Diceros bicornis minor: one gene and its partner. The protein of the gene in region 2 purifies or fractionates together with the protein of the main gene of each other region. This does not show direct contact. Links are inferred from orthologs where the notes say so. Each region holds a gene or a part of one and is shown on either strand. Other genes may lie near its edges. The genes, in order: AEBP2 and EZH1.

The links.
Region 1: the proteins of EZH1 (region 2) and AEBP2 purify together in Homo sapiens (affinity purification with mass spectrometry; 3 studies listed by BioGRID and IntAct, with this or other methods). This does not show direct contact. The link is inferred for Diceros bicornis minor from reciprocal best matches to the Homo sapiens genes EZH1 and AEBP2.

Annotation. Positions count from the first base shown.
Region 1 is NC_080756.1:42,355,811-42,370,948, forward strand, and holds the start of AEBP2 (zinc finger protein AEBP2), read right to left. Parts: upstream 7,634-15,138; 5' UTR 7,472-7,633; coding exon 6,813-7,471; intron 1-6,812. UniProt on the Homo sapiens protein: Acts as an accessory subunit for the core Polycomb repressive complex 2 (PRC2), which mediates histone H3K27 (H3K27me3) trimethylation on chromatin leading to transcriptional repression of the affected target gene.
Region 2 is NC_080757.1:41,769,246-41,784,393, forward strand, and holds the start of EZH1 (histone-lysine N-methyltransferase EZH1), read right to left. Parts: upstream 7,923-15,148; 5' UTR 7,875-7,922; intron 7,262-7,874; exon of another isoform or gene 6,746-7,261; intron 6,614-6,745; exon of another isoform or gene 6,149-6,613; intron 707-6,148; 5' UTR 615-706; intron 24-614; 5' UTR 13-23; coding exon 1-12.

The DNA of each region.
Region 1 (15,138 bases), on a different chromosome or scaffold from region 2:
GTAAAGCCAGTACTACAATATTGATTACTTTTTCTCACTAGAGTATTCTTCCCGCATCTCTGTATATGAGAAATGAAAGGATAAATGACTCCATGAATTAAATACAGCCCTAGGCCCTTTACATATTCCATCTCACTTAATCCTAACACTAAGATATTTCTCTTATTTTACAGGTAAAGAAACAACTTCTGAGAAGTTAAATTATAACAACACAAGTCTTTCTGACTGAAGGTTCATGCTCTTTCACTACCCAATGTTCCTTTGGTTATTTTAGTGGTAGATGTGTCTGGAAAAATAAGGTAAGCTATTTTTTTACTCAGAAGAAAATCCTCAAGAAAAAAACTTTTTACTCAGAAATAGTAACATAATATTTTTCTTATAGACCACTCAGGAAATTAGCTTTTCTTTCCTTTGATTCAGTTTCCCAAGCATGACTTTTCCCTCCAACTTCGACCCCAGCTCAAGTCCCTTCATTCACACCTGCACTATTCATACTACCTGCTAACTGGTCTTCCAGCTCCCAAACTTTCCTGCTCTACCTTTGCCACATACGATTAATTTTCCCGTATCACACGAGTTTCATCATTCATCCAAAATATATTTAAGAATACCTAAAATATGTGTCAAACGCTGTACCAGGTGTTGCGGATAGAGCAGTAATCAAAACAGACATAGTTCCTATCCTCAGGGAGCGCACAATCTAGCAGCAGAGATGAACAGCAAATAGTTACTCAAGTTGTGAGAAGAGCAATGAAGAACCTGGAGTTCAGGCAATGTGTCTAACAAAGAATCAGGGATAGTTTGCCTGAAAAAATGTTCAAGGTAAGATCTGAACATGACTAGGAATTACAAAGACAGAAGTTGGGGAGAGACAAAAGAATCTGATTCATAAACCTATACTGAGAAATGTGCATACTTGTGTAAGCATGAAAGGCCCCACTTCAGCCATTAACTCTTATTTCCCAGTTCCAGTGGATCCTCTGGTCTAGGCAGGATCTTAGATCTGAAGTCTCCTAAATATGCTAGGCTCTTTCCTTCCTATGTTTCATTTAGCCTTCTAGAAATTTCTCTTCACTCACCTAACCCTAAAATCCAGCCCCTCTCTCCCACGGAAACTTTAGTCACTGACTACAACACTCCCCAGTTTTAATTTTAATGTACTATGTCACAAACAATTTACAGAAAAAAAATAGAAAATAATGCAATCATCTTTTTAGTCTTCTCTTTAAAAACTAAATATCTGGGCCGGGCCGGTGGGTTAGTGGTTAAGTGCGCGCGCTCCGCTACTGGCGGCCCGGGTTTGGATCTGGGCGTGCATCGACGCACCGCTTCTCCAGCCATGCTGAGGCTGCATCCCACATACAGCAACTAGAAGGATGTGCAACTATGACATACAACTATCTACTGGAGCTTTGGGGAAGAAAAAAAAAGGAGGAGGATTGGCAATAGATGTTAGCTCAGAGCCAGTCTTCCTCAGCAAAAAGAGGAGGATTAGCACAGATGTTAGCTCAGAGCTGATCTCCCTCACAAAAAATAAAAATAAAAAATAAATATCTGGGAAGGCACCATCACAGTTCTTTCTAATCACTAAACAGGGCACAATGTTAACCATCAGTAAATGCTCAAAAAAAGACTTTTAAAAAATCCAAACATTCATCTGATTTCCTATGCATGCCCAAAACTATCCATTTAGTTCTAAGGTCAATATAATTATTTCCACAAATGCAAACTATTAGTCATAAAAATGAACTCAACATGTGGTTAGGATCACTACAAATCCATTCCATTACTAAAAAACATACCCCAAAGCTTTTTACCAATAGATCGTTAGCTTCATTTACATACTAAAAACTATTAAAAATAAAAGGTATTACGAGGCTTTTTAGGTCAATCACAGAATAGGTATATATGATAAAGAAAACTGATTAAAAGGTAAATTTTGTAATAAATATTTTGGTCTAGCATATCCTTTTGCAAGTTTCTGCAGCACTCATTTACAGATACTTGCCACATTATTTAACAGGCGGTACAGTACTTTTTGGTATTTCAGACCTTATATTGCTTCATAATAATGGTAACAGATCATTACTAGCCATTATCAGTTCAATTGTGCAGTCTGTCTCCCCTACCCATGAGGTCAAGGGGTTTATTTTATTCACTGATGTATACACAGCACCTCGAATAGTACCCAGCACACAATGGGAGCTCTATGTACATCTGTAGAATAAATACCTATCACATAGTAATTGCGGCATTTGATGGGTTTTGAAAGGCTGTCTCAATCAACAAAAATTTGAAGCAATTATTGTGTATCAGAGTATGATAAAAAGAATAATAGGAAAAACTTATGATAAAAAGAATAATAGGAAAAACTTATCTGCTCTATGAAGAAGAAAATGTGAGCACATACATTAAGGTCATAAAAGGGCACTGTGGCTTCTTCCTTGCTCTCTCTCTCAGATCACTTGCTCTGGGGGAAACTAACTGCTATGTCATGAGGAACACAAAAAGCTCTATGGAGAACTGATTTGGGGAGTAACTGAGGCCTCCTGCCAAGAGCTACATAAGTGAGCCATCTTGGAACTGGATTTCCAGCCTCAGTCAAGCTTTCAGATGACTGCAAGCTGGCCAACATTTTCACTGCAACCTCATGAAACTCGGAGCCAGAACCACCCAACTAAACCTCTGCATTCTTGACTCTCAGAAACCACATGTAATAACAAATGTTTGTTGTTTTAAGTTGCTAAATTTGTGGGAAATCTGTTACACAACAATAAATAACACAAATAGGCAAGGTGTGAAATCTCTAATGTTTACATTAGAGTCAATGAACCTACACCCTGGAATTAAAAGCCTAACAATAATATGCAAGATGGATGAAGTGGAAAGCATTTTGTCTTCCTATCTCCTAAAATCCCAGTAAAGAGTCCTGCACACAGTAAATACCTGTGTTTGCAAACTAGCTTACACACAGAATTCCCTAAAAGACCCAACAAAGTAATCTTAATGTTTCTTAAAAGTAAAATGAGCCCTTAGAATCTCTCCATAAGTGCAACCCAGAAATCTGTAGTTTATTGTTGTTTGCTTAGTTTTCAGCACAGAGCCATACCTTCCTTAACTGAGGGTTACAATGTTATTAATGAAAACTGAGACCTTTTAGAGCTCTTTTCCCTACACTTAATGAAAATAAAAGGGCAGCTAAAAGAGGGAGTCTGGAGAGACTATGGACAGCTGCTTCAGAGCCAAAAGCGGTAGTCAGTGCAAGGGAGCTCCACCACCAAATATAACCAAAATATTACTTCACATAGAGGTATTTTATTGCCTCATCCATAGAGATCCTTAATAAATCTTGACGATAACCTCAACATGCAGCCTTTTAGTATTAATCTGATTTAAAAGTTTAGCCTCTATACTAGAAAAAGATCTTCCCAATCATACTACTGGGAAATTAGGCACTATAAGTCTGTTTTCCCAGTGTCAAAGCAATCTTAATTATATCTCAAAGTTTGCAACCCGTGAGGTTGGGAGTCCAAATTTTGACCCACAAAATGGTAACGGCCTGTGGCCTTTGCTGACCATTAACTTTCATACTATATGCCCTTGCCCTATCACCACATCCTTACACATGCACTTTTCACTTGTCATCTGGACTTACCCAGAAAGGCTCATAAAAATGGCTGAAAGTGGTCTTGGCATTTTCAAAATAAGTCATGGTTTATATTCCAGTTGGCGAGATATATATTAAAGAAACAACTGCAAAATAGAGGCTATTATCAATTCACCTATATACAGATAAGAAGCTAAGAATACTTTCATGTATAATCTGATTCAACAGCTAGAACTAATTTGTAAACTAAAAAAATTTTAGAGGCATTTTAAATTCTAAAATTCTATTTAAAATTTATTTAGCCTCTAAAACTAACCTAAAAGATATATTTAAAAAATTTTCTTAATTAAAAAGTACTTAAGCTTAAGTTCAAAGTAACAGAAAAACTAGTTTTTAGTGGTCTTGCACAGCTAAATATTCCCCCCAAAGAAAATTCCATTATCTTTATAACCAAAGTAAAAGTAAATTAAATATCAACTTTAAGGTTTTCTAAATTTACCAAAATAAAAACACTAATACACTTATGCTGGTTTTGAATAAGTAACTTTCTCCTGGGGAAAATAATCAATGTTTTTTGTACCAAGCGTCATTTAATCATTTTATAAATTAGTCACCTTTCACCATACAACACTTCCAATACATGTTTGTAAAGTGACACTTTGGATCACAAGCTTTAATATCTAAGTATTTACATTTGGTTCTTTTTTAAAAAAGGACTTAGAGTTAAAAATATTTAAGAGAGTTCAACAAAATCTAAAGTATGTTAGATAAACTCAAAAGTGGAATCTAATTTCAAAATGGTAAAAAAACTGAATTCCAATAGAAAGAGTAAATTCTAATGATAATAAAATCATTGTAATAGGAATGCCTCAAGTTTCTTTAAAAGCACTTTAAAACCACCATATCCTTACATCAGTTACAAAAATAAAGACTTCCTACCATAAAATCAATCTATAAAATCCACATAGATTGGTATAATCTGCAGGACAGTTTATAAGAATTATGGATGTTTTCCAAATTTAAAATACAAAAAAAATTCAAAGGCAACAAGAGGACATTTCAGAATAAAGATTATCAAGACCACAATCAGTTTCACTGGTAATGCAACGCTTTTTCTTACAAATCATAAATCTATTACCCCGAAATGGCAAAATGATTGCAATATTTTGTTGTCTCTAATGACAGTATTAAGAAAAGCAAGTATGTTTAACCTTAATTGGACTTGTTGCACCAATATCTTACTCCCTACTCTGAAATATGATGTAAAAGTCAGACATTCAAGGGAATATCTAATGAAGCCAAAACTCCACGTCCTGAATTATTACTTGACCAATAATTCACTGTCTGCTAAAGGGATGTAGTGGACAAATATTAACTCAAAAACAGAACAAAACAAAACTCTGACACATACAACCCATTATTTAAGATGAATTATTCTAACTCTTGTGAAGTGGAAATAGCACGAGACTTGAGAACCTTTGTTCAGATCCAGCTCCACCACTTCTACTCTATACTTACTGTTTTAAGACACTCCACTGGCTTCTTCATCTGCTAAATGGAAGTCAAAATAATACCTATCTTGCACCAGAGTTGTGAGAATGAAATACTGAGACATTTAAATTGTGCAGTGCTAGGCAAGTGTGTCTGTGTGTGTGTGTGTGTGTGTGTGAGTGTACTAGATAAATGAAGAACTGAAGAAGAAATCATACAAACTAACATCAACTTGCAAATATGTGCTGGTAGCAGTGAAGGAGCATATAATGATAAATGATAAACAGCACATGCTTCACTGTGCAGTTCACACCAATTTTTAGTTTTCTTGAAGACATTCTCCTTCCTGCCTACGACTCTACAGCTCAGTACGATTTTTCTAAGGTTTGTAGAGTCTAGTTTATCCCATACAAGATGTTTGCTTAACTGGATATCAAAGTAAATATCAAACAGAACCTAACCCTCTATTTTCAAAATATTTAGGGCTTATACTCCTCATAACATTTAGTATAAACCAAAGTGCTCATTTTCATCAGTTAACAATCGGAATTCCTAGAACTTTAGAACACTTAAACTCAAGTCCAAGTCAATATCGATTGTTAAAAATTCTACTGCTCATCAAAACATTAGGAGACAGTCAAAATAAATGCTAATATACTTTAGAAGCAGTATAAAATGCATGATGTGGTTCTCTGTTTAAAAAAGTACATTAAAAACCAATTAGTTAAAATATGAAGCTTTCCAAAGAGATCAAAAGTAATGATAGTAACAACTGAACTATTACAATAAATTTTTTTAATGTCCCGAAAAAATGAAGCGCAATTTTGTCAGTCTTCACGTTATATCTAACAAGCTTTAGAAAAAAGCTAATTCCTTCAGAGACCTCCCCAATACAAGACTTTAAATATCATCATCTAAAATCATGACTCTCACGTTGAAGCATTACTCTACAAAGATTTTAAACCGCATATTAATATGCTGTACCTTCTAAACTGTATTTTGTTACGATTCCAACTCTCTGATTCCTCAAAGTTATTTTAAAGGACGCCAATTCATTCTTCTTCTCTACAACGATTTATACATGTTTTAAACTTTCTCCCAGATTTGATCACAACACAAAAAGAAGTTATTACAATCACGTTGGAGACCACACTAGTGACTACACGAGGAATTTGGGAAGCACTGATTAAACATAACAAAAACAGTCTTTTCTTTTTTAAGTAAAGAAAAGTGAATACTTGGGGTCTCCTTCCTGAACAAGGAAGTTCTGTTAAATCCAGGCGAGACCAGCCATGTTGGAAAACACTTGTCAATTACAGTTGTGACAAGTGTTCGCGAACACCGTGGGAGGAAGCTAACCCTGTGCACCGATGTGTGTACATCGAGGCCCTCTGCACCCCGCCCGAGGACCTGACCCTACTTTGGGGACTGTTTCCGAGTTAGAGCTGTCCTCAGGTCCGCAAGGAGTGCGGAGCCGAGGGAAAAGAGGGCGGGGTAAGGAGAGTTGGGGGGGGGAACAGCTTGAGAGTTGGAAGCCGCTATCCGTTGCGAGAGGGGCGCGGCGGCCGGGAGAGATTTCCGAGTTGAGAGCCTGGGGGAGGGGCTGAGGATGAGGGGAGCAAGGGGATCTCGGCGAAAAGTCCCCCTGGCCCACGCTGAGGGGCCCAGGAGTGCCAGAGGAGGGAAGGAAAGGGACACGCTTCAGCGCACTGACCTGTCCTCCGAGTCCATGCGGCTCAGGGGTTCCCCATCCGACGATATCTCCAAGCTGCCTCGCCGGCCCCCCGAGGTCGCGCTGCTTCCGCCTCCCCCGGTCCCGTAGCCCTCGTCGCCACCGCTGGAGACGACGCTGCTGCTACTGCTGCCGCCCCCGCCGCCGCCCTGGCTGCCCCGAGGTCCCTTGGGCTCCTCCAGGCCCTCCTTGCCGTCCCCATCCCCGCTGCTGCTGCTGGCGGCGCCGGGGCTCAGCGAGCGCGTCTCGTCGCTGCTGCTCCCGCCGCTGCTGCCCACCAGGCTCTCGGCGCTGCTCTCCTCCTCGCCCCCGCCGCTGCTGCTGCTCTCGTCCTCCTCCTCTTCGTCCTCCTCCTCGTCCTCGTCCTCCCCGGCCTGGCTGGCGCTCTCGGGGCTCGGCTCCGACATCGTCTCCGCCTCGCCGCCCCCCACTCCGCCGCCGCCGCCCCCACCGCCGCCGCCGTTCAACAGCAGCGCCGCCACCGCCTCGGCCTCCGCCTCCTCTTCCTCCTCCTCCTCTTCCTCCTCCTCCTCGGGGGGTTCCGCCCGGCCCCGCGCCGCCGGCCCGGGGCTGCCAGGGGGCAGAGGGCTCAGGCGGGAGAGCTCCTCCAGGTCGGCCATGTCGGTGAGAGCGGCGGCCATGGCGGCGCCTGCTCCTCCTCCTCCTCCTCCCGGCCGCCGCCGCCTCCCTCTCTCGACTCTCGCTCCTTCGCCCCCTCCCAAACGCCCAAAACTCCGCCGACGCCGCTGCAGAGCAGGAGGAGGGCCCGCGAGCTGCGTCAGCCTGCACACGCGCTACGGAGCCCGCGCGGGGACAGGCGCGCGACTGCGCGCACTCACGCGGAGACGGCTGCGCGCCTGCGCGGCGGCACGAGGTGGCGCCTCCCTCGGGCCGCGGGCTCCGCGCCCTGGCCCCCGCCCGGGTCCTCGCCCGGCCCCCGCCCAGACCGGCGAGTGCTCAGAGTTTCCTCGGGGTCTTCCCACGCCTTCCCCAGCCTAGCAGCGGGCGAGACACGCAGAACGAAAACCTGAGTGCTAGCCGGGGATTTTAACCCTCTGAGTTGTCACGATAAAGTCATTCATTCAGGGGGTGTTTGGGGAGTGTCCCCTGTGTACAGGCGCTGAGCCAGGAATCGAAGAAGTCCCTGGGCTTCTGGGAGCTTACAATCTACGCAGAGAGGAGATTAAAATGAATAAAAATAAATAATACAATGCCAGGTCCTAAATCCATAGGAGCAACACAGAGCCACAGGTTTTCATCTAACCTGCGTTTGAATACTCCAAAAAATGGTTAAATCACAGTCTCAGAGCAAACATCTCTTACGTTCAAGGTCTTCAAGCTTTTTAGCTCAGGAGCCCTCTAAAACGATATTGTACGTCCTTATCCAGTTTAAAGTGACATCTGCATTTTCTTCCAGCTTGTTATAAATAGTTTATAAGTGGTACATATTTTTAAATGTAACTGATGAACTCTAAATACCATTGAGATTTACTACCCACCAATATCCACTTTTTAAAATATAATCTTTTGTACACTTGGGCAATTTCCATCCTTCCCTCATCTTCTGGAACTCATATTTACATTCCTCATCCCCTCCAGAATTTATCCCAATAATATATTCTTTTTTTTTTTAAAGATTTTTTTTTATTTATTTATTTTTCCCCCAAAGCCCCAGTAGATAGTTGTATGTCGTAGTTGCACATCCATTCCAGTTGCTGTATGTGGAACACGGCCTCAGCATGGCCGGAGAAGCGGTGTGTCGGTGCCCGCCCGGATCCGAACCCCGGCCGCCAGCAGCGGAGCGCACGCACTTAACCGCTAAGCCACTGGGCCGGCCCCCAATAATATATTCTATATTTGAACTGCTTCCTTGATGATCTTATATTTCCTTGTAATAAAAATGTGTTTATAAATTGAAATTTAAGAAGTTTTTAAATTTCCTGTGATCATAAAACTCTGTCTTATTATTTCAACTGATCAGAACAAATATATTTCCAATATTTATAAATGAATATTAATCACAAAAGTAAAATTTTGTTGGAAGTGCATCTTTCAGAGAAAGAATTGGATGAATTTTTTTTCAACTAGTTTATTTTATCAGTGGATGTGTATTACTAGAATGAGGAGTTCAGCATCCATCCATTCTATTCCAAGTTTTCAATTTCATGGATATAAACATTGAGAAAACTTGTTCTCATAATAAGCAGATGAGAATGAATGGAGTTTTGTTATAGTAATGCCACTCAATTCTTTGAACTCCTTCCAAATTATATGCCAAAAAATCTCATAAAGATCTAACAAAGAAAAAAGTACTGACAGTCTATCAGCTGACAACTCTGATTAGGTTCTCTTTCAACTTTGTTGAAAGCAAGTTACTGACAACCACCTGACATGCAAAAGGATGTGTTACCCATTCTCATTCACCAGTCAATTGTTCCTTTTTTGGTGTAGTGGAGGTTTTTTTGAATCCCCAGGGTATTGCACCTGAGTAAGATTTGGGATGGGGAAGAATTATGCCTTTCTTTTGTAAAGTAGGGGAGGGGCGATTGGGACAAGGGAGGCTGGAAAGGAGCCCACATTACACTCTGACCCCAGGGCACATTTTCAGGCAGGTCAGTTTTGGGGATGCCTACTAAGGGAAGTGAGGATCAAAGAACTGATTGCCTTGAAACAGAGTCTCTGCTCATACACATGAGCCGTGGAAAATCTTCATATACCTTGAGTACCCCAGTATTATTTCCGCTGTCTTAGGCCTTGGGACAGCTGTTATATGTTCCTTATGTTGCCTTAAGGGAAAGCAAAAATAAAAATAATATGTAATAGTGTGGGGCATTATGGTTTATAGATACCTTCACGCACACATACAATGCAAAATACTAACCTCAAAGATTTTAACCTCAAAGCCACCCTTTGAGATAGACAAGGAGTGTATTAGCATCCTGTATAATAAATTAAGACCTATTAGAGTTTAACTGAAAAATGCATATTAAGTGTATGTGCCAGGCACTGTATTAATCCCTGAAGATTAGGATTAATGTTTGACTGAGTTTATCAAGGAAAACTTCATGAAGAATGTGGGATTTGAAAAGATGTGTATAGTACAATGTATAACTACATCTAAATTTAATTAATTTCAGCCAGATCTTGAAGAGTGTCTAAAATAGAATTCTGCGTAAGGGGGCATTCTAGGACTGAGAACCAATAACGTTCAAAAGCATAAAATTTATTCATGACAGTGTTAATTAACCATGAGAAAGCTCAAAAAGAGCTAAAGGTTAGATTGCAGAAAATCTTGAATAAAAAGTTTGACTTGGAGGGCCGGCCCTGTGGCTTAGCGGTTAAGTGCGCGCACTGCACTGCTGGCGGCCCGGGTTTGGATCCCGGGTGCGCACCGACACACCTCTTCTCTGGCCATGCTGAGGCCGCGTCCCACATACAGCAACTAGAAGGATGTGCAACTATGACATACAACTATCTACTGGGGCTTTGGGGGGAAAAAATAAATAAATAAATAAAATTATTAAAAAAAGTTTGACTTGGAAAGACAACCGGTATATACTGAGATATTTTTTAAAAGGTATGATATGATGGGGCCGGCCCTGTGGCGCAAGCGGTTAAGTGCGTGTGCTCCGCTGCGGCAGCCCAGGGTTCACTGGCCCGGATCCCGGGCGCGCACCGACACACCGATTGGCAAGCCATGCTGTGGTGGCGTCCCATATAAAATGGAGGAAGATGGGCACGGATGTTAGCTCAGGGCCAGTCTTCTTCAGCAAAAACAGGAGGATTGGCAGATGTTAGCTCAGGGCCAATCTTCCTCACAAAAAAAAAAGAGAGAAAAGAAAAAAAAAGGTATGATATGATTAAAGTTATGTTGTAAGGGTATCTAATGTATAGAAGATAGAGTGAAAAATGAATGGAGATTAGACACATGGAAATGGCAAGTATCAAAGCCAAAAATGAATGCTCTAGCTGCGGTATTTAGACTTGAAGACTAAAATGTGCTATCTTGGAATTGACTTTTTGGAGAAAATAGAGCACTTCCCATACTGGAGAGTTGTGTTTTTTTTTAGCTGCAAATTTTCTGAAAATTTGAAAGAATTGAATAATAAACACCTGTACACCTGCCTAGATTCGTCAGTTAATAACATTTTGCCACATTTGTGGATGCTGTGTTCTTCTCTCTCTCTTTCTTTTCCTCCCCCTCTCTCCTCCTCCCTCTCCCTCTCCCATTAACCCTACCTCTACCCCCTCTCCCTTTGTCTCTCTCCCTCTTGGCTTGGTTGTGGACATCGTTACTCTGCACGCATCTCCTGGGAGCAAGGCCTCTCACCCACACAACCACAGTATCACAGTGTCATTATCCCACTCACTGAAGTGTGTGACTAGAGACAGGACTTCCGGGTGACGGAGTTCCTTCAGGAGACATCAGGTGAGAAGTTGGATGAAACTGCAAGAAGCAGAGTCTGCAGACCAGTGCCCATGCACAAACTGTTTCTTCCTGGTCTGCATCTAGACAAGTACTGAAATTAGCTTCTGGAAACTTTTATAACAACTTGACAGAGTAATTTTATGCCTGCTGAATCTGATAAAAAATGGGGGCTTATATTTTTGAGGCCATCCGTTTATTTTATTATTCTGGTAATTCACTTTTGCTGTATTTTGCAAGAGTATCAGTCCACTGGAAATTTTTTAAAAATGTACATTGGTCCTTCCTAGATCGAGAGTCACCGTTCTGTAGTTCCCTCCCTCCTGGTGGGAGAGCGTGTGATTCTATGTGTAATTATAAGTTACCCAATAACACACCATTGCATAAGAGTGTTTGATTAGGAATAGTATTCAAATTCATTGACCACGGTACTAATGGGGGTCACATTAGCAATGATAACTTGAATTTCACTGGCTCTTCTACCTGCCAGGCCTACTAACAGGAAACCTCCAGCTTTCTGGGAGCCTCTGGGATAAGGGTCTCTCCTGTGCTCACACATTCCTCTCTCACTGCCCTCCTCCCCTGCTCTACTCTTCCAGGCCCTGCAGGCTCCTACCTGCAAAACAGCCAAAACCATGGTGTAGCCTGGAGAAATGGAGCTCACTCTGTTGACCTCTTTTAGGGAAACCCCGAAGCAGACTGCTTGTGCCCAATATCATATATGGTCATGAAACACCTCTTTATGTTTTTACTCAGAGCTCTGTTTCTCTTAGGGACCCAGACATGCTTTCATGGGCCTAGATTGGCGACAGCTCTGAGTAACAGCTACCCCAAGCTGTATTTATTACTCCCCATCCAATGACTAAGTCTTTCTTATAGGGCTTCTCTGTCTAATTCTCTCTTTCATTAAAATGAGCCTGTTCTAGGAAGCAGTCTCAGCCCCCGTGTCAGCAGGTTTCTTTCAGTCCTGCCTCACCAGTTTGCTCAACGTGCCCAGACATGCTTGAACCCCAGCAACAGACTCAGCTTAAATTCAAGCTGAGATTGCTGCTACACCACCCGTAAGATACTTCTGAAAATGTCCCTAAAATATGCAACTCTCTCACGTTTTGCACCTTTATTTCAGGTTCCTCATTCTGCGTGTTGATAGTGCCCTAGTGAGCAAGATCAATGGCAGTGTATGACCTCATTCTCTGATTGACTTGGAGTCTAAAAAAAGTAGGCTGGAAAGAACTAGAAATCTGATGAAAGCTTCCCCAATCTGTAGATTGTAATCCAATGAAAACCCAACAAAATAATGATGACAGTTTTTGTGTTAAATTTTCTGGCGGTATAGCCATTTTGAGACATAACTGCTTTGGCTGGCAACTTTCCACAATAAGGAGATCATTTACCCATGTCTGGTATTTTGAATAGTTTCTCATTTTCCTATGTCTATGAAAGGGTAGGTAAAATGTGAAAGGTGAATAACAAAAACACCACATTTTTTTGTCTTTTCATATATTTTATATCTAACTTGCTAACCAAATAACTTTATTCAACATTGAAAACTCTCTCAATTATTACAATTGAATTCTTTCTTTTTTTTTTTTTTGGAGGAAGATTGGTCCTGCACTAACATCTGTTGCCAATCCTCCTCTTTTCTTTTTTTTTTTTGCCCCAAAGCCCCAGCACATAGTTGTGTATGATAGTTGTAGAGTTGCAGCTCGTCCACGTGGGATGCCACCTCAGCATGGCCCCATGAGTGGTGCGTAGGTCTATGCCCAGGATCTGAACCTGCAAGCCCTCGGCTGCCGAAGCAGAACGCAGAACTCGCGAACTTAACTGCCTTGCCACCGGGCCGGCCCTAAAATTGAATTTGATGGATTAGTTATTGTAGCATACAAGTTACAATACCAGTTAGTACTTTATCCATCAAATCTCTAAGAAGGCAGGAAAGAATCTAAACATAATATTTAATGGGTGAAATATAAAAGTAGTGTATTAGCAGTTTGGATAAATTACCTTGGCTTCAAGCCAAAAAAACCCGACCCACTCCCTTCCTTTATTGAAGTATATATGGCATCTATTTGACTACTAACCTTATTCATACCCTCTTTTTTCCTCCTCTTCTCTTTGTCCCTTATTTCATTACTTGCTTTTATATCTACCTTGTAGTCCTCTATACATCTTGGTAAATTACCTCAAATTATTTTTTCAAGTGAGTTTTGTTGGGTCGTTTAGTTTTTGTTTTTGCAGAACCTGCTAAGCCTCCTCCCCCCTCACTCCCACCTTATGTATGTGCTGAGCACATGACCTCCCAGCAACCCTTAGAGCTAGCTTTGGCCATGTGGCTAAGTTCTGACCAATGAACTGTGAGCAGAAGGGATCACATCCTCCTTAGGAAGCTGCTTGCCCTCCCTTCTCTCACTCTTCCTCTGCCCTGTCTGTGGGCTGAGACACAGACATGATGGTGGGAGTGAGCCAGCCTCAACCATGCATAGCAGGACTACACCCTAGGATGACAGAGCCACAGAGAGAAGAAGCCTGGGTCTCCGGATTACCTCATTTTGCCATGCCACTCACCCCTACAGACTAACAACTCAGACCTTTTGTGCGTGAGAAAGAAATCTTTTATCTAGTTTCTCTCTTCTAAACCAGCCAAGTCAATATCGTAATTAATGCAGGTAAAATAAACAAACAAACAAACACGGTTTCCTATTTGCCAGAAATCTGAGGCCCTCAGGTCCTTCAATTTCCTGCCCCTCCATCTATAAACTATTTATATCCGCACTCATTTTTTTTCCCTAGGCAAGCTAAGCTTTCCACTATGGCAGACTCTTAGGTGTCCTAAAAAAGGGAGGGAAAGACCATATATGTACTATTTTTTTCCTTCTCTTCTTGGGCACATGGCTGCCCAGCTGGAGACCACATTTCCCAACCTCTTTTATGCTCCCTTACACTCAGTTAATAAACCTAAATATATCTAGTCAATCCAAGTGTTAGATTCTTTTCGGTAGAGAATAGTAGCTACCGAAGAAATGTAAACATAACCAGTCCTGCAAGCTTGGTGAAATTCTAGCTTTCTTTGTCCTTTTAGGTGCTCTGGTGATATGCTGAATGAAAGATGAACTCAAGACACACAAAAACATTAAAAAAAAATTTTTTTTTAATTTTTATTTATTTATTTTCCCCCCAAAGCCTCAGTAGACAGTTGTATGCCACAGCTGCACATCCTTCTAGTTGCTGTATGTGGGATGCAGCCTCAGCATGGCCGGAGAAGCGGTGCGTAGGTGCGCGCCCAGGATCCGAACCCGGGCCGCCGGCAGCGGAGCGCGCGCACTTAACGGCTAAGCCACAGGGCCGGCCCACACAAAAACATTTTAGAGACAGGATTCTGTGCCCTCTAGTCACCATGATGGAATCAGAAATCCCAATGGCTCAACATAGGACAGCTTAGGAATCAGCAGGCATCCTTAATGTATCAGATAACAAAACTTGCTATTCATGCAAACATAAGAAAAGTCTCCTAACTATTGTAGACAATCCTCATACCTTGAGTAACTTTAATTTCCCAGTTTCTAACATGCATCATACTATTTGACAAATCACTAGCTTGCTCAATACAAAACCCATTTTTACATTCAGTATGGCAATCAGCAAGGCTTTACGGAGATCTTTACAGTAGATTATTCTAGCAGAAACCCCTGGAGTATGTCCCTTTCTGATCTACAGCTAGCTGAAGACTGCTGAACTGGGCTTTTTTTTTTCTTTAGCATGTTCATTGACCCTGTATAGAATCAAAGCTTACATTGTTGGCACATACATCATATCCTATTAACTATACTGAAATACAGTATTTTAAACTGAATCACAGAAATTTTAATACTTAGTGATAGTTCC
Region 2 (15,148 bases):
TGATATATCCATTTTGCTGTAATCTAAGAGAGACAGAGACGAGGAATAGTATTTTACTGCCTGGAAATGAATCATTCCTCAAATTCAAATGAACATGGTCAGTTATGCTTTCATTCCCATTACATTTATTCATAAAAACATAAGTCTAAAGCATCCAAATCTATGAGTTCAACAAAAAGTTTCAATTAAAAAAAGATTTCACATCAGCAATTCCTGGTCTGATTACCAAAAAGCTTAGCCTCTGTCCTCCCAGTACCTTGTTTTTAATTTATAACTCAAGAAGTTCTCTCACAGATATTTAGGAACTTGGATTACTTGGAAATTTAGAAGCCTACTACTTACTACCTTGATTAAGAGAATTGTTCAGCAAGAATCAAGTTAATTTCAAAGAGTTTGAAGGAAAGATCTACCCACACTCCAGAACTGCACCTGACAAATTGTCTAAATCTACCACGTGCATAGCAATAAAGGTCAGATATTACAACAGCATAATCTCATCTCCAAGTCAACAGCAAGACATATGAAAATATATAACACTGCAAACCACTTTTTTTTCGAGTTTGAACTAAGGTTCAAAGACTTAAAGAAGTACTTATTGTACACACTCTACCTACCTCAGAGAATGGAAAGGGAAGCGTCAGGTTTTATAATGTGCCTTCTGTTCTTCAGAGGAATGGCAAGACACAAAGGCAAAACAAATGTTCAGCTTTTCAAAAGAGAACAGACAGTGGTTTTTAGTCAGTGGAGCATATTTAGACCTCAGTCAGATGCTCCTCCAGAACTACGAAGACTTTGAGGTCTCTGCTACCATTATTTCTGCATGTAAGTCAGATCCCAATAATACTTGATACCATTTGGAAAGGGTCCTTTATTTTATTAAATTCTATCCTTCCAGTCATGTGTACAAATATATTCTCACAATTACCAAGTTTGTTTTTCTGCTTTTCTCAAACAATTTCTAGGCACAGACAGCAGGTCTATCAACTATTTTAGAGAAAGAACAAATATTAAGTACACGTAAAAATTGAATAAAATCTACAAGATTATGTTTTTACTCTATATTAACTACTTAGGTGTCCTAGAGAACTAGTGCTGTTCATGTCACTTACATTTTAAATTTTTGAAAACATTACAAGGAGCTACAAAGAGCCAAAATTTGAAACAGAAACTAAAATTTTAGTCCTTGTTTTTTTAAATTTCTAAAAAAAATTTTCTTTTGGAGTTTAATATCATATTTCTTCAAAAGAAGCCTTTTTAAATTACCTGTTTTTCCCCATAAGAAATGACAGCAAGACAAGAAAACAGCAATATTTAACCCAATGTCACATATATGCCACAATCACATCATGATTATAATATGTCACGCACATGGACTTCAAGAGGACTATACCTGAATGTTTCAATTGAAGAATCAAACGGATTGGTGTAATGCTGTGTTAAATTTAGAGGATAAATAATGGAAGAGCAAAGAAGCAGACAGACAGTCACTGAGTTTACTGTTAACTCAATCAAGTGATTCAAGCTCTTAAAAACAGATTTCCCTGTGAGTTAAATATTATCTCTCTGGGGGAAGTGAATGAAACAACATCACCTAAGAATTTGAATCCCAGAGTACTAAGGTGGTCGGTTATAAAAAAATTAAGCAGACCTGAATTTCTTTCCTACAAATTGCACCATCTCTCTTCCTCCTACATCTTTTAAATAGTTGTCACTCCTCTACGGAATGGGGCCAAAAGAGGGACCTTTTTTTGAATGATGAAAATATTTAAGAACATACAACACAGTCACATGTAATATTAAGTAGTTGCTCATATAACTTCTGCACTGAACAAGCTTAATAATAGTCTGCTCCAGGAAATGAAAAAATGGTTCAAATCTAGGACAAAACTGCCTCCCTCAGAAACCTCAGTTTACCCTCATTGAGACCCAAATGACCCAAATGTCATAGATTACAATTCAGTGAGACATCATAATCTCCTAAAAAAAATGGTTTTGAACTGAAATCCCTCTCCCATTTCTTTCAGAACTCATTTCCCTTTTTGAAATAGTAAGATTAGGGCAGGTTGCTCCATCCATTTAAAACTGGAGATCAGGTAACGGAAAAGAACATAATCCAGAGCTGCCAGGGGAGGTGTGTGTACACTTCTTAGAGGAGATGGCCACAGGAAAATATCGATATTTTTCTTAAAGAAAGGAGTTGTAACTGAAATGTGATCTCCTATAGTCTGTCAAAAGAGATGACAGTAAACATACCACAACAGTCCAATAATTAATGGCACTATTTCTAATTTTACTCAAGTGCTGTTTTTGGCCACAGTATGCACATATACATAAAAATGCCATCGAGTTTTACTCAATCATACTGTAAAACAAGCCACATTTCCTCCTTTTACAATTAAAGTGATATTTAAGTCTCATGTGACCAGGAGCCAATATTTATTTCACTTGGCTTTTTAATGGGTCTTCTACGTCTCTAATAATTTATTCGGCAGTTGGTCAGCTCCCACAGACTGTATTAGAAAGATGAGACACACTGTTTGGAACAGATAGGTATGATTAAAATAAACACCTGAAACATAGCTGTAAGATGGGTTCTTATAGCATATGGACACTACTCAACAACTATCACTTCAAAGATTTAAAACAAACAGAAAACTCAGCTTTTGCTAGAAAAGATTTGGAGAAATGGGTTCATTTATCTTGGGCAAAAGGAGTGGCGCACAAAAAATACTTTATATTTCTATTAGATCTATTCTTTAGCTACTTACACATGCAAAACAGCATTTATATTCCAGTTAAATACTAAGCTAGTACTTAAGAGCTTTTCATTATGTTCACTTATATATTGAAAATAAACTCAAAAACATATACTGTTTTGGTCAAGAAATTTAAAAATAAATCTTTATATAAATAACTCCTACAACTCAATAATAAGATAAAGAACGCAATAAACAGTGGGCAAAAAACTTGAACAGATATTTCAACAAAAAAGATACAGAAATGGCAAATAAGCACACAAAAAGATGCTCAATATCATTAGCCATTAGGGAAACGCAAATTAAAACCACAATTATATACTATTATACACCCACTAGAATGGCTAAAAAAAAAGACTAATAATACCAGTTGTTGGTGAGGATATGGAGCAACTGGAATCTTCATACATTACTGCTGGGAATGCAAAATGGTACAGCCACTTCGGAAAACAGTTTGCCAGTTTTGTTTTGTTTTTTAAGAAAGTTAAATATATATTTACCATACAATCTGGCATATAATTTCTAATTATTTATCCAAGAGAAATGAAAATATTTGTCCCCAGAAAGACCTGTACATAAATATTCATAGCATCTTTATTCATAATAGCCAAAAAGTAGAAACAATACAAATAACTATGGATTGGCAAATGGATACAAAGTGCAGTATATACACAAAAAGGAATACTACTCAGCAATAAAAGGAATGAATAGTTCCTATATATGCACAACATAGCTCAAAAGCATTATGCTAAGTGAAAGAAATCAGACACAAAAAACTACATACTATATGATTACACTTACATAACATTCTACTAGAATGATTCTAGAAAGGGAAAATCTATAGTGACAGAAAGCAGGTCAGTGGTTGCCAGGGGCTGGGGTTGGGGAAAGAGATTAAATGGAAAGGAGCATAAAAGAACTTTTTTGAGATGATGAAAATGCTCTATACCTTGGTGTGGTGTTGGTTATACAACTACGTACTTTTTTTGTTTTTTCATAATTTTATTTATTTTTCCCCCAAAGCCCCAGTAGATAGTTGTACGTCATAGCTGCACATCCTTCTAGTTGCTGTACGTGGGACGCGGCCTCAGCATGGCTGGAGAAGCGGTGCATCGGTGCACACCCGGGATCCGAACCCGGGCCGCCAGTAGCGGAGCGCGCGCACTTAACCGCTAAGCCACAGGGCCGGCCCACAACCACATACTTTTATGAAAACTCACTGAAATATAGACATAAATGGTGAATTTATTGTATGTAAATTTTTACCTCAATAAAGCTGATTAAAGAAAAAATAAGTCTTTCTTGATAATAGATCAATCCAGTATTTTCTAGAGATTTTTACTATTAAAAATCTTTAGGCAATTCCACCTTAAAAAAAAAAACTCGAGTGACTTCAGAATAAATAATAATAAAATGATCAATACTAGTTCATTAACTGTAAAAAAATGTTACATGTATACTAATGTAAGATGTTAATAACAGGGGAAACTGGATGTGGGTTTATGGGAACTCCCTGTACTATATTTACAATTTGTTTGTTAATCTAAAACTGTTCTAAAAAAATAAAGTTTATTTTTAAAAAAGATTGATAATTGGAAATAAGAACTACCTTATTTATGTGTCAGATCTCTACAGAAAAAGAAAGCTATAAAAACTTGGAAATCTTTCCCCAGAAAATTGGATCTCAATTTGCTTCAAAGGCTAACACTAGAATGTAGTCTGTCACTAGTTGGAAATGGGAAAACATTATTGAAATGTTTGGGGATAAAACATTTAAGGAACAATATTCTTTTTTTTTTTTAAAGATCTTATTTATTTTCCCCCCAAAGCCCCAGTAGACAGCCGTATGTCATAGCTGCACATCCTTCCAGCTGCTGCATGTGGGACGCGGCCCCAGCATGGCCCGAGAAGCGGTGCGCGCCCGGGATCCGAACCCGGGCCTCCAGCAGCGGAGCGCGCGCACCCAACCGCCAAGCCACAGGGCCGGCCCTGGAACGATATTCTTAAACTTAGAGAGATTGAGGTCAGAATATAAAAGTTCCATACTATGAAGTTCTTTCATCCACACAAAGGCGGCCCTTTGCAGAAATGGCTTGTCTGAGGGGCAAGTTCAATGTCTTTACTACTTTCTCTTTTATAACAAATAATTTTATTAACCAGCAGGCTAGGTAAGCCTTTGGAGGCAGATGGTACTATAGATTTTTAAATTTTCCATCTCATTCTTTTCTTTTCAGTTCATGGTGGCGTTGAAACATGAACTGTAGGAGTGAACCTACCTCTGCAAAGAGCTCTAGTAATGCACAATTGAGTCATTCTGGTGATCACCAATTTCATCAACGCTCTCATGAAAATCAACTCTGTGGCTAGGTACACAGCCCGACAGATCCTTCAACTAGGATCTACTAAGCACATGTTTACTTTATACCCTCCCACTTCTCCAAGGTATTTACGTTTGTTATTAGTTTGAGCTTTGGGCACTATACACATGGAAAGAACCTTACTAACAGGAAGCTGTGACCCTGAATTCTTATTTAAAACAAAATTATAGCATTAATATTTTCTAGTGTTGCTTTATTAAGAGAATCAGGTCATTTGCACTGCAGACAATTAGACCCAAAGGAAAACGCTGGCTCTTAGAATGTACAATGCTGATTTAGAAGAGTTTCGGCAATAGGCTAGACCCTACCTTAGCTGGTTCTGTACTATGCTAGCACAAAGCTTAACATTTAGTGACTGCTCATTATCATTCAATAAAAACATGACTTTTTAGTTATTCCATTTTGAATCAAAGTATTAAGGCAAGTGAGTCAGAGAACATAACACATCAGATGTACTAACTCCAACTACTCATTAAGTAACTCTTGACTTTAAGGTTTGGAGCACTGAAGCCCCAACTGACCACCAGCTGATCGACTAAAGAGGTGGGAAGGAGCCCAACACAGTTTGGACAAATTTAAAAAAAAAAAAAAGCTGGGGACTTTCTGGAATGGGGACTTTCCCTAAGAGCAGTTTTTCCTTTTTAAACTCTCCCCCTCAATCCTAATCTAACTGGTATAATTCTCCTCACCTCTCCACCTGTTTTTTCTCTTTACTCTTTAGTTTAACTATCCTATGAAGAAATGTAATGTGTTTTTAGTGTTGCTGCCTCAACAAAGTTGAAACTTTTAAAACTTAGTATAAGAGAGGAAAAAGATATACTTAATGAAGTGAATTGTTACACGTTTCTTATAAGGCACAAATCAAGGGCAGGAACTGTTACCCACAGGACTAAGGAAGCCAGATTTCAGATCTCAAGAATTAAATAAACAGAATTAATATTTTAAATAGTTTTTAAAAGGCATGCTAATTCAAAGGCAAGTATAAGAAAAACAAGTCCGACTACATGTTCTCACCTTTTCCTTTCTCACAAAAGTATTCCCGGGAGTAACATTTCATTTTTAATCCTAGGCTCTTTATTCCAGTGCTGTTTCAAAGAGAATTAACACCATAATGAAGAGGTCATTTGCACCTCAAGGAGTTTTAAAGCTGTGCCTTAGCATCAAATTCCTTGATTGACCTACAAGTACTCTGCCAGTTAGCGGCAGAACTAGTATCTAGATCTCTTGACTCCTAGTCCCAGAGATCTTCTCACTATTTATTCCACAAACATGTATTGAGCACCTACTGTGTGCCTGGCACTACTTTAGGTGCTCAGGATACATGAGGGAATAAAACAGACAAACATCCCTGCTCTGGGAGAGTTTATTCACACTGTCTGTGATACACTCAGCACAAACCTTGACAATAACTATTATTACATTTTTATAGATGGTCCTTTTCCTCTATTATAAATGTGTAAAAAAAAAAAAAAAAGGACTTCTCTCCTAAGACACACTCTCTTCTATGTAAGTAAGAAATCTCTTTTTATCAATGCCCCACCATCCCAGCCCTGGGGATTCCAAGGCTTAAAATAGACAAGCTCTCTCAGAAACCTCTGATAGAGTTAGCACCTTCTCAGGCTGGAAACGTCATTCAATGCCGGTTTCCTAAACCTAAAAGCATCAGGTGGGGAGATTTTTCTCTTCCAAGACATCATGACAGCAAACGTCGAGGACGAGACCCACACTTGCAACGCCGTCCTCGCACACAGCCAGCTGTTCGTCTACCTCCGCTCTTTTCCCTCATCCTCACGAGCGCCTCTGGCCCCGGGCTCGATACCTAGGCTACTCCATTTACCATTCTGTATTTCACCCATCGAAAGCCCACTCTCGCTATTCCACTGGCGGCACTAAAATCCTTCCACATCCCTTCCCCTCCCCGGCCCTGAAACAATTTCAAAGGAGTCACTTTTTACCGAATTAAGTTTGTCTCACATTTCCTAACAGGCATGTCCCACATACAACACCTTGCCTTTGCTTTAAGGCGCTTTGCCTTCTATCATTTGATCCCCAGGAGAATTCTGGGGTGGGCAGGGACTGGCGCGAGACCAAATTTGGAGAGAAGCCTCTTACTCAAGGCCGGGACTGGGGTGAGGCGAGCGAGGCGCCCAGCGCGCAAAACCTAAGGAGGCACGCGGCACCGGCACGACCCCGGGAGTGAGCGCCTCCGAACATTTTGCGCCTTAGGAGCCTCACTCGCCTCGCCTCACCCTAGTCCCGGCCCGGTTTTCACTGCCACCCCTTCCCCAACACCCCCAAAGTCATCACAAGCTGAGCCACCGTTCTTGGCCCTGCCCGTGCACAGGCCCAGGGCCGTGGGAGTCCACCTCGCCAAGGGCCCCCGCAGGTGCCACCGCCCACCCGCTCCCTCTCTACGCTGGGGCTCCCGCCCACCCGGCCCACCCCGCCCTCCAACGGGATTCCCCGTCCCAGGCCCGCCCCTGCCGCTCCTCCTCCCGGACACGCCGCCCTCCCCGCCTCAGACGCGGTCCTCGTCGGGGGCTCTCTCGCCCCGTCGCCCCCTTTCCCCCAGCCCTAGAACGGGGAAGGGGCGCCCCGCTACCCCCGACCAGGCAGGCAGTGTGCCCCTTCGCTTCCTCCCAATTCTCGGACCCCTTCGCCTCTCCCTCCCGCAGGCCGCGGGTGGCGGGGTGCCCAGGCCCGGCCCCACCGCCCGGCCCGGGCTTGTTTACTCACTCACCCTCCATCCCGAGCCGCAGGGACCCGCCGCCAGCACGCCTGCGCGCCGCGGCCCCGCCCCCGCGCCGCGGCCCCGCCCCGCGCCTCCTCCCGGCGCCTGCGCTCTGCACTGCCCGCGCCCCGCGGGTCGGGCCACCTGGGCTTCCTTCTTCGCACGTCTGTCGTTTGGCGCCAGTACCCCGAACTCAGGGGTCAGAGGTGGTGGAGCGCGAGCCCTACGGTTTCCAAGGTGGCGCTGTCAGGGGAAAGGGAGGGCTCTTGGGAAACCTGGAGCAACTAATATCTTCTTGAAGACCTTATCCAACGGTTGCACCAGCCCTGCATGCTGGTGACGAGCCACGCCTCACTTCAGCATGTGAAACCAGCCTGCAACCCCTTCATACTGATCCCTCATACCTTCAGTACCCCCAAACACCTGTCTGTGGGCTCTAAGTAACCCTTCTTGCTTTATTTAAACCTGACTTTCCTACTTCTGTTAATAGTTTTCCCAGTTACTTAGATTCAAATTAATAGCCTTGAATCAAAGTAACTCCTCACAAAGTAACCTATAAGTTACAAAGAGGAAAGTAGTAACTTTACATGGGACAGAAATCTGGCAGACATCACCTTAACCAAGTGATCAAAGTTAACATTACTAGTGATGAGAGATACTCTTGTTAGGTACCTCTCAATATGATACAATGACAAAGGCACAAAATCACTTCTGTAGTATTCTTGAAAAAATGCATAAGCTGAATTAAATCAAGAGGAAACATCAGACAAATCCAAAATAAGGGGCAATCTACAAAATTACTGGCCAGTATCTTCAAAAACATCAAGGTCATGAAAGACAAAGGTTGAGGAATTTTCTGGATTGGAGAAGATTGAGGAGACATGACAACTGAATGGAATGTGTGATCCTGAATTGAACCCTGGTCCAGAAAAAGGATACCAGTGGAATAATTGATGAAACTAGAATAAGGTCTGTAGATTAGTTAATAGTATTTTATCAATCTTAATTCCTGGTTTTGGCAATTGTACTTCCTCAACATTTGAGGAATTTGGCTGAAGTGTATACAGGAACTCTCCACCATTTGCAATGCTTGTAAACCTGAATTTCAAAATATAAAGTTAAAAAATTAAAACTTACAATACAAAATAACATTACTTTGAATTTGTCCCCGAGTATAATTACAAAAGCCTATAATGTTCATTTGTTCAAATAATCTTCATAACAACTCTATGAAGTAGGTAGGGAGGCTTTTAGTTCTATACACAAGGCTATTCTGGCATAAGAGAGTTAAAAGACTTGCCTTACACAGATGAAAAATTGCTCTGTCATGTGTTAAACTCAGGTCTCTCAATTACAGATTTAGTGTTCTTTTCCTTATATCAGAGACTTTGACTTTGCTGTTTTTCTCTTGCCTGTGTCCACTTAATTGTCAAATCAAGACAAATATTCCTTCATACTTGACAATTTGCAACATGTTCCTTTCCATTCCCACTGCCTTGTAGATCAGTGGTTCTTAAACTTGCTTCACATTAAAATCACCTGGGGAGCTTTAATAACTGCTTATGCCTGCCTTCCACCTGCAGAGAGTTTGATTAATTGGTCTAGGATATGGCCTGGTCTTCAAAAGTTCTAAGAGCATCCCAGGTGATTCCACGTATAACCAAGTTTGAGAACTATTACACTACATAAATAATTGTTTTTTTTTAAATTTTATTTATTTATTTTTTCCCCCAAAGCCCCAGTTGATAGTTGTATGTGACAGCTGCACATCTTTCTAGTTGCTGTATGTGGGACAGAGCCTCAGCGTGGCCAGAGAAGCGGTGCGTTGGTGCGCGCCCAGGATCCAAACCCGGGCCACCAGCAGCGCGCATGCACTTAACCGCTAAACCATGGGGCCGGCCCTAAATAATTGTTGAAATAAAGAATAGAGGTTAAAAAGGCGGGGAGCAGGGGCAAAAAAGAATGTGGACTATCTAAGGAGAGATGTTCAGAAGATCTGAATGTCAGGACTGAGACTGGAGATTTGGGAACTATCAACATACTGATGGGAACTAACAACATGGGAGTGGACAGTATTGCCTTAGGAGAGTGTGCCCAGTGACAAAAGGAGAGATACAAAGAAATTTTGTGACAACAAAGAAAATATGGTTACAGAAATATTTGAGGTGGAAAGGAAGGAAGGTGAGGAGATTTATGTCAAAGCTCACGCTCCACTTCCTCACTAAGCCTTCCAGCTCTCCTGGATCTCCCCGTGCTTCAACTCTAGTACCACTTTACACTCACTACCGTGCCGTATTCCTCCTTCATATCCACCACAATACGTGGCATAGGACCAAGCCCAGGGTTTAGTAATCCTCGTTCACTGGAGGATTATAAAAACAACTTTTTACATCACAAATAAGCATGCGGTTCTTGGGGAAAATTTGCGTGCCAATTGGTTTCTCCTCATTGTGATGGGAGAGAGTTTTTCCTGAGACTAGGCTCTTTCTTAGCTGACCATGGTCCATGAGACATTATCAGCTAACCTTTGTTTGGCCAGCTCTTCCTCTACAACTTTTTCTTTTCCAGCCCTTCAGGTCTTTGTCCTATAAATTCGTAGAAAAACTGTTGGCAAGTGGTCAGCAACTGGACCTTTGAAAAACAGTACCATCAACTCTGCCCCACTCCTCCTAGCCCCACCCCCAGGCAGTTAATAGGAGAAAGGAATAACTGTGTCACTCTTGGCTTCCAGTTGCTCATCTTGTTCTTAAATTGGAGGCCTCTGGGGCTGAAAGAAACTGGACAAAGTGTGCTGAGTAGCCTAATAGAGCTAGTTCTTTTTCTGAGAGTTCTCAATTGCGGAAAAATAAAATTATGTGTTTAATTTTTGAAACTTGATGCCTGATTTGCCTTGGCAGCCATTCTCCCAGGCTTGGCCGAGAGTCCGGCAACACTAGTATACTGATTAATACCAGTTCAATTTGCTCCCTGGAGAAGAAGAGCATTATTTACTTGACCATTTTCTTAAATCCTTTTTTTTTTAACTTTATTTATTTTTCCCCCCAAAACCCCAGTAGATAGTTGTATGTCATAGTTGCACATCCTTCTAGTTGCTGTATGTGGGACTCAGCCTCAGCATGGCCAGAGAAGCAGTGCGTTGGTGCATGTCCGGGATCCGAACCCAGGCCGCCAGCAGCGGAGCACGCGCACTTAACCGCTAAGCCACAGGGCCAGCCCCTCTTAAATCTTTTTTAATTTGCATGTGTTTAAACATGATCTTATTGGCTTTAACATGCTGTATCTCTGACCACTGGCCCCAATGAAGCCTTAGGGAAGACTGTTCTGCTCTGTGCACTCACATCCTCATCACAAAGCAAGATTTTGTTCAACCCAGTGATTAGAAACGACATGTCATGTGTATGGTTCCTCTTGGGGTGGGCAAATTCTTTTTTGTGTGTGAGGAAGATCAGCCCTGAGCTAACATCCATGCCAATCCTCCTCTTTTTGCTGAGGAGGACTGGTCCTGAGCTAACATCTCTTGCCAATCCTCCTCTTTTTTTTCCCTTTTTCTCCCCAAAGCCCCAGTAGATAGTTGTATGTCGTAGTGCACATCCTGCTAGTTGCTGTATGTGGGACGCCACCTCAGCATGGCCAGACAAGCAGTGCGTCAGTGTATGCCTGGATCTGAACCCAGGGCCGCCAGTAGTGGAGCTCGTGCACTTAACTGCTATGCCACGGGGCCGGCCCCCTGGGGTGGGCAAGTTCTAAGTGTACTTTTGTCCCCTGCTGGTCTTCAGGTCACTGGTAGAAAGAGAAGGAGATGATGCTTCCCAGCATTCAAACAGAGCTTTCTGTACTATTCCTTCCAGCCTTCTTTGGATGATGATCCTTTGGCTCATTCTGCCTCTCCCTTGTGAAGCCCACAGGGATATCAAATAGAGTTTCTCCGAGGGACACAGAGGACTGAAGAAAGGTTGGGCCCGAGACAGTCCCTGACAGGGAAGTATAAACACAGCTGTGGAAATGGGAGCAAACCATCTCCCTCCCCCCAGTTCCCACCCAGAAGCAGGGAAAGGCCACCCTGCTGTGGAGAAACAAACAACAAAGCAAAGCAAAGCACAACCTAAAAGCCTGGATGAAGGTCACCAGAAACTGGGGCTGCTGCCCAGGCTTTGGTGGGGCCAGCTGAAGTGCCAGACCCCTCCCTGAACACTTAGTGGCAAAGGCAGCTCCAAAGCAAGTTGAGGTCTGGACATTACTGAACCTGGAAACATGGCTCGATTTTTGAAGCCTCTCCACTCTCGGACAACTTGTCCTCTGATCTCAAAAACCCAGCTTTCCGCCCCAGGTACTTAGCTCCTGACCCCTACTTGCTTAGGGATAATAATAATGCATTCAATTCAGCAAGTAAGAACAGGCCCACAATAAACCCTTGTCTGTAGTTGTTATGAATTTAAATTCTGATCCTCCAAGCCAAAATAATAGAAACGGCCTCCTTAGCTTTTGTTAATTACAAAATAAATATTTCCAGAAGGAAGGGACTTTCTCTTTGGGGGATTACTCTGGTGGGATTCATGCCTTGCTTTGCACATACTCTGAAAGCTCCAACCCCACAGCTAGGGTGGTGCTGCCCATTCTCACTCTCTCAGCACAGTTAATGCAGGGCCTTGATCCCACGGGACACGCCTTTGGCACAGCCCTGCCTGGGAAGTAGCCCTGATCTGGTGGACAGCTAATGAGCTGTGCTTCCTTTCTGGCCATCAGGATCCCAACTGTAAAACTGCAGAACTAGAAAAATGATAATAGCCTTCAAATACTAACCACTCAGTATGTGCCTGGCACTGTGCTCAGTGCTGTTATAAGTTTAAACTCTGGATCATCTCATTTTGTATGGTCAGTAATATTATTATCCTCACTTTATAGCTGAGGAAACTAAGACTTAAAGAGATTCTGGAACTTGCCCAAGGTCACCCAGCTGGTAAGGGGTGTGGCCAGGATTTGGGCCCAGTCATTCTGACCCCCAAACCCAGGCTCTGAACCACTCCGCTCTACTTCCTCCTTTCTTTGAGGTCTTCTATCTCTGACATCATGATCCTGGATTCTCTCCATGGCTTTCTGCTCTCACCAGCAGCGCCAGAAGGCGAAACATGTTTGGGACTCTACTCTGCAAGTTCAGAGGAAAATAGTTGCTGAAAGGCAAGGGGCTCCTTACTTCTTCTGTACTAGAGATGCCAATCAAAGCCAGACACTCAACAGACCCCCATATCAGCAGGGAACAGCCTATGTGGAAGACAAACAAATCCTAGCCAGACAGGAAAGGGGAGTTCCCCTTGGTCCTGTGACTTCCCCTTCTCTCTTCCCTGGCTTATCAGCAGGGTCCCATGAGGCTGATGCTATGGCCCTTTGAACTCCACTGTGGCTAGGATGGGATACCAGGCTATGGAGATCCTTTTGGAGCAAGAAAAGTACAATACATACATCTACAGATTCATATCCATAACATTGTACATAAAGGAACAAAAATAAATCACATTTATTTATATACTTAACATATCACCTTTAGAATTCACGTAATCACTAGACATTGCACTGGGTGTGAACCTAAATCATCTTGCATAATCCTTGTGAGATGCCTGGGAGGTAGGTATTGTTATCCCCATTTTACAGAGAAGGACATTGAGGCTCAGGGATATTGACAACATTGGCCATGGCCACATGGCTGGTAAGTAGGAGAGCTGGAACTCAAATCCAGGCTAGGATTGTCTGACTCCAAAGTCTGTATTCTTTTAAATAAAAAAAGTTTAGTGTAATGAAAAGAACAAAATTATAGAACTGGAAAGATCCCAGAATGTCTTGGAAATATAGTTGTCATAACTATATATGTTACACATTATGCTAGTAACTACTGTTTATCATATGCTTACTAGCTCCAAGCATTGGGCCAAATGCTTTACATGCATTATCTCCACTGCTCAGTGAGATACACACTAGTAACACCATTTTTGCAGATAAGGAAACAAGCTCAGAGGAATTAAGTAATTTGCATAACATCACATACAGCAATGGAGCTGGGATTCAAACTCAAGTCCGCTTGACTTCACGGTGTGTGCTCTTAACCACTAAAGCAATAGAAATAATAATAATAATATGCACTGACTATGGGCCAACTACTGCTCTAAGAGCTTTATATCTTATAATCATAGATATCATTATTATCCCCAATTTACAGATGAGGAAAATATTGCCTTTTGTAGTATTACTTAAACTCACATTACAGACACCACACACGTTAAACACACATGCACTACTAGTGTCATTTTGCTTAACATATGTTGGATCCTTGTTATGATCTAGAAAATTATTTATTTCATAATGTCATGGGTTTTTCCATTTTTCATCCAATGTACTAAGGTCCTAGGAGAAAGGATGTGAAAAGATGCTGTCTGAAGGTGAAGCAAGCGTTGTCAGAAGAGGGTTTGTACTGAGTGGGTAAGGCCCACTGTGCCACAAGGAGCCCTGTCTGGTTGCCCTTCTGGCCGGCCTTCCTCATCCCTTCCTATTTGGTTCTGTCTATCAGGTTGGCTAGCAGGTTGACTTCCATCAGTATTGTGGAGCAGAGGTTAAGTGTTCAGGCTTCAGCATCAAGAACACCTGGGTATCTGCCAATATTAGTTGCATGACCTTGGACAAGTCACTTAACCTTTCTGAGCCTCAGATTCCTCTTCTGTAAAGTGAGTTGCTATGGTACCTTATTTAATAGAGTTGTGAGTTTTAAATGAAACAATTTGTATGGAGCACTGAGGATACTGCCTGGCATCCTCAGGGCATCCCCATGTTATATAACATCCAGCATCGTGGGGTGTTGGGAGGAGGTAGAAAGTTCTTGGGGATGGTTTCATAGGACAGTCCTGAGGAATAGAGAAAGGGTGAAAGCAATCCTGGCATCTGGCGTTGGTTCCTGACAGCAACCATGAGTCAGCCCCAGGTGCTGAGGGACCAGCAGTGTTCTCAGTACTGCTGGGTGTGTGCTGTGGTCACTTGGCCACAGTCCTCTTCAGTCACGCTGTCTGAACGTCGTTCTTATAAATCTGGCCTGGGTCCTTTTCAGAAAAACAGCCTCCACCACGTGATGTCATGGTCCAGCCTGGGTCAGGGAAGGAGGTGGGAGGAGGTTGTGTGCATGTAGTTGGGTGAAGCAGGATCTTCTTATTTCTGGAGGGGTCAATCTGGTCCTGCAAGAAACACTCTATCCTTCTCTCCAAATTTCAAGACCCAGCAAGGAATCAATATCCTGATGTGAAGTG